2 linked regions of the Cricetulus griseus genome follow. The protein of the gene in region 2 purifies or fractionates together with the protein of the main gene of each other region. This does not show direct contact. Links are inferred from orthologs where the notes say so. Each region holds a gene or a part of one and is shown on either strand. Other genes may lie near its edges.

Region 1 (5,965 bases), on a different chromosome or scaffold from region 2:
CAGAAATGATACTAGAACAAGTGCTCTCTGTCTGCACTGCAAGGTTTGTGGCTGCTTACCCCAGCACCTGACCTTCCTGCTGCAGCTCTGAGGTGTGCTCTATGTTGCTCCCATGGGACTGGGCCCCACTTGTAACCTGCTCATCATTGATCTCAAGAGGATCTATCTTCTTGCCACTAGTCATTGCTCCTGAGGCTTCCAGGGATTATTTCCCAAATAAACATTTCATTCCCAAAGCCTTGCCCCTGGCTTATTTCTGGAACTCAGCCTGAGACATTGGATTAGAGTCTCCGTGAGCATATGGCTGGCTCCAAGCTGTACAAGAATATTCTCCTTCAATGGACTGTGGCTCAGAAGCAATCCCTGAGTGTCCTTTGGATGCCAAACTCCACAGCCCATGATTGGATTCAGAACTACAAGTCTACATACCTTCGTGGGCTTGATGATACCTTCATTGCGGTTGGGGTCTGTCTCAATGGTGAAAGTGTCCCTGTACTCGCCCTGTATGATGCTGTACTTGGTCATTCGGTTCTGAGGTTCATCTGGGTCCTCAACTGACAGAAAGCCCAAGGGGCTGCCCACACGGATGTCTTCAGGCACCGAAAATGTGTATGTGGCTGATATGCATAGAGTACCACAAAGAGTTAATGAGATAGATAAGACAATTGTCCCTTCATATTATCACACACACACACACACACACACACACACACACACACACACACACACACACACACAGAGAGAGAGAGAGAGAGAGAGAGAGAGAGAGAGAGAGAGAGAGAGAGAGAGAGAGAAACTGAACCAACAGTCTTACCTAGACTAGGCAAACACTCTACCACTTAGCTACACCTCTACCCTTTGAACTTTTGAGATAGATACTTGCTCTGTAGCCCAGACTGGATTTGAACTTGTAATTTTCTTGTCTCTGTCTCTTGTTGTTGGGGCCACAGGTATATTCTGCCTTATCTGGGTATCATACAATATTTTGTTACAGGAAACAGGCAAGAAACTTATGACCATGGGATTCTGGGTCCCAAGGCAAGGGACCATCCTTCTGTCAATGCACCAAGTAGTTACTAAGCTCATTCTGTACTTTGGAACATCAACAGACAAGAAAGACAAATCTTGCCCTCGGGACATTTATGCCATATACAGCAATGCTACTTCAGAGCTAGACAATTTGGGGGCAACTGAGGCCAGAATGAAAGCAGAGCTAGAGGGTGCCAAGAATATCCCCACTCACTTTTCCTACCCAATGGCACCTGGGATACAAGAAAAGCTCTTAACAGGCTTAAGGGAAAATCAATTTGTGGGTAGGTTTATGCCAGGCTTTTGTTGTACCCCTATTTTTCTGGGATTTTATAGCTGGGCCCTCAGAGGCCAGGTTTGCCAAGCCTGTGGGATCTGGGTGACATCACCTCTACCTCACAGTGCTACTTGAAGCACTGCAGTGGCATCAGCAAAGGTGTGATTTTTGTCTGGTCTGAGAGGGGACCCATCAATGGAATTGGGTGACCTTGGGAGCAATGTATAAGGATGGTGTGAGGTCTCCATATTCTGGCTCCAGAAGCACTCCAGGATATGGGGAGATGTAAAGAGGTTTGGGGTACCTTTGTGAGACCCTCCAAATCGTTGAGTCTGGATTGTCCCAGCCTGTCTGCTTAAGGCTCAATGGGAGAGGCTTACACTGAGTAAAGATGGGAAAGTTGTCATTGATGTCTTCCAGTCTGATCATCACAGTCGCTGTGCCTGACTCTCCCCGAAGACCCTGGGCATCTCGTGCTTCCACCACAACCTTGTACTCAGCCTTCGTCTCTCTGTCTAAGTTTTTGTCCTTTGTTAAAATGAGTCCTGAAAAAAAAAGTGTCCCAAAAGGAATTGTGTTATCTGAGGAATCTTGAGAAAATCTGGGTGCTCAGACCTTCCCTAGAAAAGACATAGGTGACTCTACTATATATCTGAGATTGAGAACCTCAGGACTATAGCCCACTTCTTCCAGATCTTGCTCTGTATGGCTAAAAGCTGGCCAAAATGTGTGGTCCAATATTGTTCCTAGCCAGAGAGAGACTTATGTTGAGAAATACCATAAGGCCAGTTCCAGGCTCAGAGTGATGGATAAGTGGTGTCTGCCTTGGTTCAAATAGATATGGTTGGCTGTGCCATGTTTTATACTGAGCGTGTTGTACTTGATTAATGACGTCTGTCTTGACATATATAGAAGTGGCTACAATTTTTAGTGTTGAGAGCTGTGATGGATTAATGATGTCTATCTTGATGCACATAGAACTATCAGTTGCATTATGTATTTGCTCATCTCCTTGAAGACAGTATGCCTAGTTTGACTAACTGGCCTTCTTTCTTGCTTCCAGGACTCAACACTTAGTTTTTCAAATGTGTTAAACTGAACCAAATTTGGCCTGAGAAACCTTCTGTACTTTGCAGACTCGAATCCTTCTGTGATGAACTGCAACCTAGTAGTGTGTAAATAAACTAAACCCCTAACTTAGGAGTATGCTCAGCCAATCACAGCAGCTGTGCTCCAGTTAATCATAGGCTGCCACCTGTTCAAAGCTGTTCAAATAAGGCAGACACCCAGCTGTAACCAACTGAGCTCTTTCTAGACTGCAGGATTTTTTTTCTACACTATAAATACCACCCAACTATGTGGCAGCCATGGGGTTTCTCTGAAGTTGTTTGGCTTCTGGGGTGTCCCAATTTGTGAACTATTCTTTGCAAAATTAAATTTGATAAAATTTAATTGGTCTAAAGTTTTCCCTTTAGCAAGGCACAAAAAAATTATGTGGCATGGCTGTGTCTGTGCATAATCTAATTCAAATTTCATAGCGACTGAACAAAGGGCTATGAACATTCCTAGTTTCTGGACAAAGGAAATAAGGATTATAAGGCATTAGTTGACTTGCCCAAGGACTGTAAAACTGAGTAGCAGTGCAGGGTTTTAACTCAATGTCTCTGGACATGTACAAAGACCTTCCAACTAGCATTTTTGTTGAGTCCTGGTCTCTGAAAATAGGGTGAAAAGACCCCTATTTTCTTTCCGTGAATGCTTTGAGCACCTGTTTGCTTCCTCCCCTAACCTGCCCCAATATGTCTTTATGTATATTACGTATTCCTTCCCTGGAGCAATGGCTGGTGACACCTGTCAGGTTAGACTTCCCTCTGCATTGGCACCTGCAATATTCATGTCCCCAAATCCCCCAAAGAGGTACCCACCCAAAAGGGTTACTCATACAGACCAGAATTATCAATGTTGAAGTACTCATTTCCTTTTAGGATTTGGTACATGACAGTGGCGTGGCCATCCACCGTGGGGTCATCAGCATCCACTGCTGTCACACGGATGACGGAGGTCCCTGTGGAGAGAGAGAGAATTCTGGTGTATCTGCTCTTACTGGATTCCCTGGTGGGAGCAGATGGGGTTCTGCTGTTCTTACCACCAAGCTGAGGGAGAAAGTTTGCCTTGTGCCAGAGGGGCCATTGTGAGGGTGAAGTGCCAGCAATGGTAGGCCCAGCCAGATGAGTCATGAAGGTTGCAAAGAGAACAGGTGGTTTGTGGATTTGTGGGAGAAATGAAGAGAGGGAGATGTTTGGTTTGAGAGAGAAACGGGAGGGTTCTGGATGGCTTCACCTCTTTTGAAGATGAGAGAATGTGGGACAGGAAAGGGTATTGGGAAGCCTCCAGAGTGAGGGGGACCACACTTCTCAGTCTCTGGAGTTCTAGGATTCCCTCAAAAAGGTCCAACCTCCGGGCCCTGAACACAGAGCCTGGACACTCTTTTCCTGTGCCTCTGGAAGCAGGATGAGGACAGGCTAGCAATTCCTAAACCTATATTTAGTGTGATGACACACGCTGGGGTCAGGGTCAGGGCCCAGACTATAAGGATAGTCAGTGCTTAGCACATTATGAGAATCAGAACCCATCTGTGTTTAGGGACAGGGTTTAGTGTGGGACTAGGTCAGAGGTTAGCCTTTAGGGACAAATTTTGAAATCATGTCAAGAGGCAACACAACATTACACCTACTTCCTTGAACTTACTGAAGCCTGACCCTAGGCAGTGAGATGGCTGATGTGAGAGGTGAAAGAGAGGGCAGACTAGGCACATACCCATAGCTGACATCTCTGGCACAGATGCGTTGAATACCTGGCTTGTAAACACAGGCCAGTTGTCGTTTACATCATGAACCTTGACAGTGAAGCTGGAAGGTCGCTCCAGGTTTTTGTTGCTCTCCTTGTCCACAATGAGAGCAGTAAGGTAGTACTCAGGGACCTTTTCCCGGTCTAATCTCTCAAAGGCATACACATCTCCTGAGTCAGAATTGACCCGGAAGATGGTGCCAGCAAACTCTCCTTGGAGGACATACTTGGCATTCTTACGGTTCACGCTGGACTTGATCTGGGAAAGAACAGACAACATGAGCTAGGAACGGAAAGTATGGCTACTTGCATTTGTGAGTGTGTGCACACACAATTGTGCAAGTTTGTGTGTGTGCATGCATGTGGGGGTGTCTGTATGCATATATGCACTATGTGCATAGTATCATATGTGTAGTGATGTATAGGGATCAATCCTCATTGTGACACTGAGGCTTTAAACAAGAACTTTTGACTGGTCACCAGTGAATTCTTCTTCACCAGGTCACCGCAAGCAGTGATGAGCATTTCTTAGCTGTGTTCAATGCCTAGAATGGTGCCTGGATCCCAGTAAGCCACTTGCCAGTGAAGAATAAAAGGCATCATTATCCCTTATATTGTTACCATCTCATCTGTAAAATGGAGCTAATTGAATTTCTAAGGCTGATTTGCACTAATGAGTAGAGCAGTCCGCTTGGAAATGAGTGCCAGGAAACCTTGGCTTCTTTTGTTGCCCCATGCAAAAACAGGATACATGCCAGTGATACATTGGAGCTGGCTGATACCAACATGGATTTGAAAACTTGACTAGAATTGGGGAATATCTGTGATCTGACTGTTAAATGTAGCCATATTAAAAATTAAATCATCTGAACATATGATGAAATAAATCATTATTATAAATGGTTTGTCAACTTAGGATTTGGGTATTTGAAACCAACCTAGGAGACATGCCTCTGAATGTGACTGTTACGGTTTTCTAGAAAGCATTGACAGAGATGGGAAAGTCCACACTCAATATAGGCATCATCACCCTAGGGACTGGGGTACTGAATTGAGTAAAAAGGAGATAGTAAATGAAGCAGCTGCCTCCATCTGTCTGCTCCTGACTGTACAGGAGCACAGAGGGGTGACCCTTTACCTCCAGCCTCTCCTCCCTGCCCCTCCTCACTGCACCTTCAAACCCTGAGCCTGATTAAGCTCCCCCCTTCTAGAAGTTGCTTTTGCCAACTGTTCTGTCGCACCAACAGAAATGTAACTAATAGAAACATGCTAGAAGCAAAGATTACGGATACTCAGAATTCATGTTTCTAACTGTGTTACTGCATTTAACTGCATTCTTGAGGTTATTGTGTCTTCTGTATGAGCATAGTGGTAATACTAAATGGGGTATGGCCGTGTACATCTTGTACTAACTCTGCCTTCAGGCATGCATATCACCAGCTTGAAAGCTGAGTATTTATACTACAGAAATTGGCAAGTTCTACACATCAGCACTTTCCCCTCAAAGCCAGTTGTCAGACATTTATCAGTACAGCAAGCATTGGCCCCAGTAAATTTGCTTTTGGAATGATGCATGAAATATTCTCTTCTTGGCGATTTATGGTGTCTAATCTGCAGAACAGAACCATAGTGAGCTTTGTTTAACTCAGGGTGTCCTGTACCTCTTAGACCACTGAGCTCGTTTTCTTTATAACACATGCTATTAGTAGCTTAAGGGAAACCAATATATGCCAAGCACCTTGCACTGGACACTACTCAGGCAAATCACAGTGACTGGTCATGATAGACCCACAAGCCAAAAGATATTAGAAA
Region 2 (6,689 bases):
TTCACCAACAACCATTTCCCTATCTTTCCTTCTGTTTTCTTCTTTTCTTTCTTTCCTTCTTCCTTTTTATAAAAAGGATCTGCCCCCCTTTTCCCTTCTTCTAACAAATGCAAAACATTTCTCAGTGTGTGTAGGAGGGAATATGGTCAACTGATTTCACTTGTATTTTGTCAAATTTGGGTCCCACAGCCATCAAAGATGCACCATTTCCTCTAAGACTTCTAAGGGGGTTATTACCATGGGCCTGCTGTTCTGGTTTGTATTAGAGGAGACACTATCTTCTAAGTAAAACATGGAAGAGGAAGTGTCCAGAATTGTAAATAAGGCTTCCAGAGAAGCCTTGTTTTGGGACCATGATGGAGAAAAGCCATCTTGTCCAAGTCAGGATCCATCTTTGCTCCCTTTACCCAAATCTGACACAGACACTCCTGGATCATTTTCTGAGGTTTGTTTTAGTTCGTTTGCTTTACTCTCCAGAAAGAGATGTTTCTACATTGTTCACAAATAAATACCTCTCCAGTAAAAGTCTGCTTACGCAGTAGAAGACCATTAAGAATGAGCCAGAACCTCAGAATGCTCTCCATAGGTACACTGGAAAGTGAAAACAGTGAAGGCTTCAAACAGCCTTCAGATGGAGTTTCCATTTATGAGAAGAAAATGCAATACAAACCGACCTGAATGTGCATAGAATTTGCATGCCTCCATCAAAGCAAGAGGGCCACACTGAGCATCTCCATGTTTTTCTAGCATAATTTCACCACATAGATTCACTATGTGCTGAAACCTTTTTTTCTGTGAACTTGGGGAAAAATCAAAAAACCAAACCAAACCAAACCACAACAAAAAACCGCTGGAGCGTGGCATGTGCTTCTAGCACCATTCTTCCAGCTAAAGTACATTCATGAAGAAGGGACAACGCTGTTTCTCCCCTCTTTAAAAAAGGAAAGCATCTTGCTACTTTAGTTGTGCACTAATGTACCTCAATGTTACACTAATGTAGTTTGGATTAGATATAGAAGCAATAATCTTTTCTTTTTACCCTGCTAAAGGACTGTCCTTTAACCTGTCATTACGAAAGCATTTGGTTATTGTCAGGGGTAAAAGATGTAAGGGATATTTGTTGTCATTTCCCAGGTGTGGAAGAAATGGAAAGAAAACTAGGGACGAAAGTGGTCATGAAGGAACCACAGTTCCTCCTTGGTCACCACTTGAAATCTACATAGACGGAGAATGTAGGAAGTCTGTTCACACAGGGACCATTTGTCCCTTTGCTCCTGCAGTGACACTCCGGTAGAGAAATGCCCCTTTCCCTTTCGCTGAAAAGTCTCTTGGTTGAAAGATCAGCTCTGAAAAAGGTCTGGCCAAAGTCACTCTAGGGGACCGTGGTCACGGAACCGGGTGGACCAAACTACTCTAGCAGTCATAGAAGGGTCAGTGCCCATCACTGTGCGGGGAGCCCTGGTCACCTCCAGCTCCCTGGATCTCTCGCTGTAGGCTTTTTGGACAGAACCAGGCAGGAGTCCCTAACCGAAATGTCTTCTAGAGCTAGGCAGGTAACTTCAGAATTGAAGTTGCTGGAGATGGAGGTGAAAACTGTAAGGGCATTGGCAACCTGGATAAGCGTCTAATTAAGGCATTTAGTCGGGAATTTTAAATTTATAGCTCAGCTGGCCAAAGCACTAAAAGCAAAACTCCCAAGTACTGGCCAACTCACTGCAAGTTGGTGCCCCAAATACATCCAGGTCTAGTGTTCATATGCTCCAACCTGCCGCGGGTTTCTTGGTCGCTTGGGACGCTCAGCTGCAACAGCGTTTTGAGTTCTGTACTTGGAGGCGCCTAATGAGGGCTTAATGGGCCTTTTGATTATGGTGATGCTTCCCAGGTTGTGGGGACAAAAGTTTCTCAGAACCCGTTGCTGGCTACATTTTACTTCCACCAGAAACCGAACTGCGTTCAGTTTTTCTCCCGGCTACGACTTGCCGGGCTAGTGGGGGAGTGGGCGTGGGAAACCGGGAAATCCAAACCCGGAATCCAGTGAGGGGCGTGGCCGGACGCCGGGAGTCCCCGCCCCTCCCAGAAATGGCCCCGCCCCCATACTCTAGAGTTTAGCCTGCGCTCGCGGTCTGCACTGAATCCTCAGGACCCCAAAAGAGTAGCAGTTGGCTGTGTTTCCTTAGATTGCACGGTGCGTTACCTGGCACGATAGAAAGCTCAGATTGCGACCCGCAGCCGGGATAACCTGGCTTGCCGGTGTCCGCAGATTCCGCTGCAGTTGCGGCCGGAGCCCGGGTGCCCTTGCCCCGCGCTCTCCCGGTCCTGCGCTGCAGGGTGCGTATCGCCTCTGTGACTTTTTTGCGGGCCAGGGACCGAGAAAGAGTCTGTGCCTAAGAACTGGGCTCTGTGCCCAGAGCGAGGTGCAGGATGGAGAGCAAGACGCTGCTAGCTGTCGCTCTGTGGCTCTGCGTGGAGACCCAGGCCGCCTCTGTGGGTAAGGAGCCCACTCTCTGAAAGTAAAACGACGAAGTAGGGTGCGGGCGGAGAGAGGGGATACAGGAGAAGAGGACCTAACTCGGAGAGAACTAGGGAACCTACCCTTTGGTGTTCTTTCATTATCTTCGGGGAAACAGCTTCAAAGACTAGTCCAAAACGACCCAGCCTGTCGATGGTCCCCAGAACTCTAATCTCCCCCGGGCTTCAGTTGGAGCCTGTTGTGCGGACCCAACACAGCCTCGGGCTCTGGGGAGGCGGGAGTGGGAAGGAGATGCCCCACAGGCAAGAACAGGCAATAAAACGCCTGGAAGCAAGCGCAAGCCGGGCGCCCTGCGTGGCATCCTGCACTCCGCGCTGCCTCCACCGAGTGGAGCAGGGAACCCGCCCTCTGCTCCGCTCCCCTTTAGCTCCAGCACTTGCGCACACCGTCTATGTGAGGTGAGATCTCTTCATAGGGCGACACTTTGCTCCTCCAACTTTCTTTGGTGCAGAATGCTACTTTCCTCGCAGGAAGAAGAGGCAGTCCCCCCTTCTGTGACAGTTACTCCGAGTGTCTTAAAGTAACTATCCACCTAATACCCCAAAACGTTTGGTCCTGGGGTAAACTCAGTCAGAAACAGAGTTTCAGAAATCTCTTGGGTTTGGCACTTTATAGAGCCACTTTTCATGACACTTAAAATTGCCCTCTGCTTCAAGGTTAGTCCTTCCCTTCCCTTCCCTTCCCTTCCCTTCCCTTCCCTTCCCTTCCCTTCCCTTCCCTTCCCTTCCCTTCCCTTCCCTTCCTTCCCTTCCCTTCCCTTCCCTTCCCTTCCCTTCCCTTCCTTCTCCCCCCCCCCCCCCAGTTCTCTTCCATTTCCTTTTTGTAGCCAGTTTGCTCGTTTCCCAATCTCTACCCGTTGGAGAATGGAGGGAGAGTCAGAAAAAATTCAATTCCGTAAAAAATATTCCTTGCATCAGAAGACAACTGCGTGCCTTAAAAACACTGGCACTGAAATACAGTACCAAGATCATCTGTCTACAGTTATTGAGTTTTCTTCATAATGACTCGGTTCATCAGGCCAGCTCCATCATGGGTGCTCATTTGTCCCTGACAAACGCCCACTCTCCCCCCTTCTGGGAAGAGAAAGATAGTCTGGAATATGTGCTTGCCCTGTGTCCCACAAAGAAGTGAGTTGCTTTGAAGCCTGGGGTGTTCCTAGAGCAGCAGTTTAACAGTAGCCTGGTTCCCTGAATAAAATGGAGGTTGCCCTTTCGGAGTGTGTGACTTGCTTAATTGGATTGGACTATAATTGGTGCCATCGAAGTCTAGAGACAGAGCTGCTGTTGTTTTTCCTTCTTGTCTTCGAGCAGGAAGGATAACAGTGCACAAATTAATTAGTGTTGGTTATGGGATTCGAACATAAAAGGGCTTTTATTGTGTAGTAGCATATGTACCTCTTACAGTCAGAACTAGCTTTCTAAAGGAGAGGACCCAAACTTGCCAATGAAAATGAATGGGGTTTAATGGGTGGAGGGAGTGTTAGTCATTGATGTAACTCTCCAGTTATTATTGATAACCTTATTGGCTAGATTTGATTGTGGAGCGATCCCTAGAATAGCGTGGTGTTGTATATGGCTTCTTGTGAATGGGATGTCTCTTAAAGATGAATATAGCTAATGTGCCAGCAGTCTAAGATAATCTCTGGCTGTACTTTATTACAGAGACAGTCAAGAGGCTTTCAGTGGCTGTGGCATGTAGATCAGAGATAGAGCACTGAGAGTCTGGGTTCGCTTCCCAGCACTGAAGAATAAAAGTCATTTGCTGCAGAGGTAGAGTGGACACAGCTTATTGAATGGTGGTTATTTACTACCACATTTTCCCTTACACATTTGCCCAACTGATGGCTTCTTTTTCATTTGGCTCCTCATATGAGTCGTATCCAGTTATTGTTTTGGGGTTAATATTTCTGAGTCATGTTTAAAATCTACTTATCAAACAAATTGTATTTTTCACTTCTCAAACCAAGTAGCATTCCATCATTGGAAGACGTGTTTATGTGCTTGCCTTCTTTCATATTGAAAAGTGATTACACTGATTGATTAAACATGACTACCCATGACTACCCCACAGAGCACCCGTGACACAGTCACTTTAAATGCCACTTAAAGTGTATATTTGCAGATCTAGGAATATCCAAACACCACATAAAGTTCAGAACCACTGCCCAAATACAAGTCATTGATGATGTCAACTAGCTTCTGGGGGTTATTAATGTCATTTCATTTCCAATGATTGAAAACATGTCATCAATCAATATATCTATAGTTAGATCAGCAACATATGTGCATCTGATTAGATTGGGTGTATTTGGGGTGGTGTAGCTGTAGATTGTTCTGCACATCTGTGCAGGTGTGTGAGACCCTGTGCTGTCAGTTAACCACCTGCTTCCAGTTGTTCACATAGGGGCCACGGTGTCACAGCACTGGCTATTTGCCCTGGCTGTTTGCTCATACTCTCTTCTTTCACACGGCCCCGTATTTGTTCACGTTCACTTATTTGCCCAACAAGGTCAATGCCAGCTGAGACCCTACGAGTCATCTGTTCTGAGTTGGTGTGAATTAGAAAGCCTGGGTGGCTGCCTGGTATTAATTAGTTATCTTTTTCTTTTGAGACAGTCTCACTCACTATATGGCCCAGGCTAGACTCAAACTTACAGTCCTCTTGTTTGGTCCATTTGAGTGCTGGGCTTCCTGGTGTGCACCACCAGGCTAGGCAGATCAGTTACTTTCCAAGCTGAGAGCTGGAAGATTTTGATGTCCCTTAGCATGGTGGGCAACTCCTCTTTTTCTCATGCTTTTAACATGCCTGGTAACACTTTACATTTAGATGACTGACACCTAGTTATCTTGCTGTGGTGTGACCTGTTAGAGACGTGTATATCTCATGATATCTTTCTGTGTTTTAGTTTTTTTAGGTAACATGTATCTTGTGTCTGGAGCTTTGTGTCTAGATGAGCTCAGAGCTTTGATTAATTAATCAGTTGAGAACCCCCCATTGTAGCTCATTAGAGTTACACTATTTTAAGTTTTGCTCAGAGGAAAAGTATATTAATATGCATGTATGCATGAACTTGAGAGATTTTTACTCTTCCTCAATTCATTTTCCTTCATCTAAACGCCCTGTCTTTATGAGCCACTACCGCAGCTTGATTACCAAAGGAAATCTGCTATACTGCCTGATAAAAGACAATGGGACAAAGGTCACAGTAGCTCCTGCCCCTTTTTTGGGGGGAGGTATGGAGATGAGCTGTATAGAGATCTCTCTAGGGAGTTTTCATTAATCAGCAATTTAGTCAGATGTGTACATCCTATGCTTTCCCAAGGGCCTGAGATCATCAGATGGTGGCTCACCGGGTTTCGATGTCCCATATCCTTTTGTAAGACCTTGAAGTTGGCAGTGCAGGAAAACAGGAACTCCACCCTAGCACTGTGAATTGCAGAACTGTTGTGTTGGTTTGTGACCATCTGCCCATTCTTCCTGTTATGACAGAGCTTGTGAACTTTTACTGGGAATGGGGCAAAGCAGATTCCACTTTTGTACGATGAATTGCTGAAGAGGTCTTTTAAAACTTGGAGTATGCATTGCTGATGGAAGGTGTTTCCTATGGGGTCCGACTCTTGTCTAATTTCTTTCTAGGTTTGCCAGATGATTCCCTCCATCCACCCAAGCTCAGCACACAAAAAGATGTACTTACAATTTTGGCCAATACAACCCTTCAGATTACTTGCAGGTAAGGGTTCGTTTTAGATTCAGATTTCCTGTGTGCAAGGACTCATTGTTTACTGAGGTCACAACATTTCCATTACTGCAGAATTATAATAGTATTGTTGTAATTGTTTATAAGTCATGAGGCTTCTAAGAACTCATGCAATAACGAAACAATGAGAAAGGTCTCTTCAAACTTTTGTACTGTTTTGACGGGCCTTTTCAACACGTACAAATGCATACTCACATATGCATTTGCACAACCATGCACACATGTACATGCGTGCCAAAAACTGACATGTGATAGACATTCATGACTATTGATGAATCAGTAAAGTTAAGGGCTTATCCTTGTGAAATAGAGTGGAAGTCTGAGCCATGTTCATGTCAGTTCGAATGACTTGTGAACATCTTTTTAGCCCTTTATAAGAACTGTGTTCTACAAATGAAATTC

The links.
Region 1: the proteins of Kdr (region 2) and Cdh5 purify together in Homo sapiens (affinity purification with western blotting; 3 studies listed by BioGRID and IntAct, with this or other methods). This does not show direct contact. The link is inferred for Cricetulus griseus from reciprocal best matches to the Homo sapiens genes KDR and CDH5.

What each region holds. Positions count from the first base shown.
Region 1 is NC_048596.1:180,295,913-180,301,877, reverse strand, and holds part of Cdh5 (cadherin-5), read right to left. Parts: intron 4,413-5,965; coding exon 4,124-4,412; intron 3,372-4,123; coding exon 3,255-3,371; intron 1,852-3,254; coding exon 1,687-1,851; intron 618-1,686; coding exon 430-617; intron 1-429. UniProt on the Homo sapiens protein: Cadherins are calcium-dependent cell adhesion proteins. They preferentially interact with themselves in a homophilic manner in connecting cells; cadherins may thus contribute to the sorting of heterogeneous cell types.
Region 2 is NW_023276807.1:142,448,491-142,455,179, reverse strand, and holds the start of Kdr (vascular endothelial growth factor receptor 2), read left to right. Parts: upstream 1-2,421; coding exon 2,422-2,488; intron 2,489-6,166; coding exon 6,167-6,260; intron 6,261-6,689. UniProt on the Homo sapiens protein: Tyrosine-protein kinase that acts as a cell-surface receptor for VEGFA, VEGFC and VEGFD. Plays an essential role in the regulation of angiogenesis, vascular development, vascular permeability, and embryonic hematopoiesis.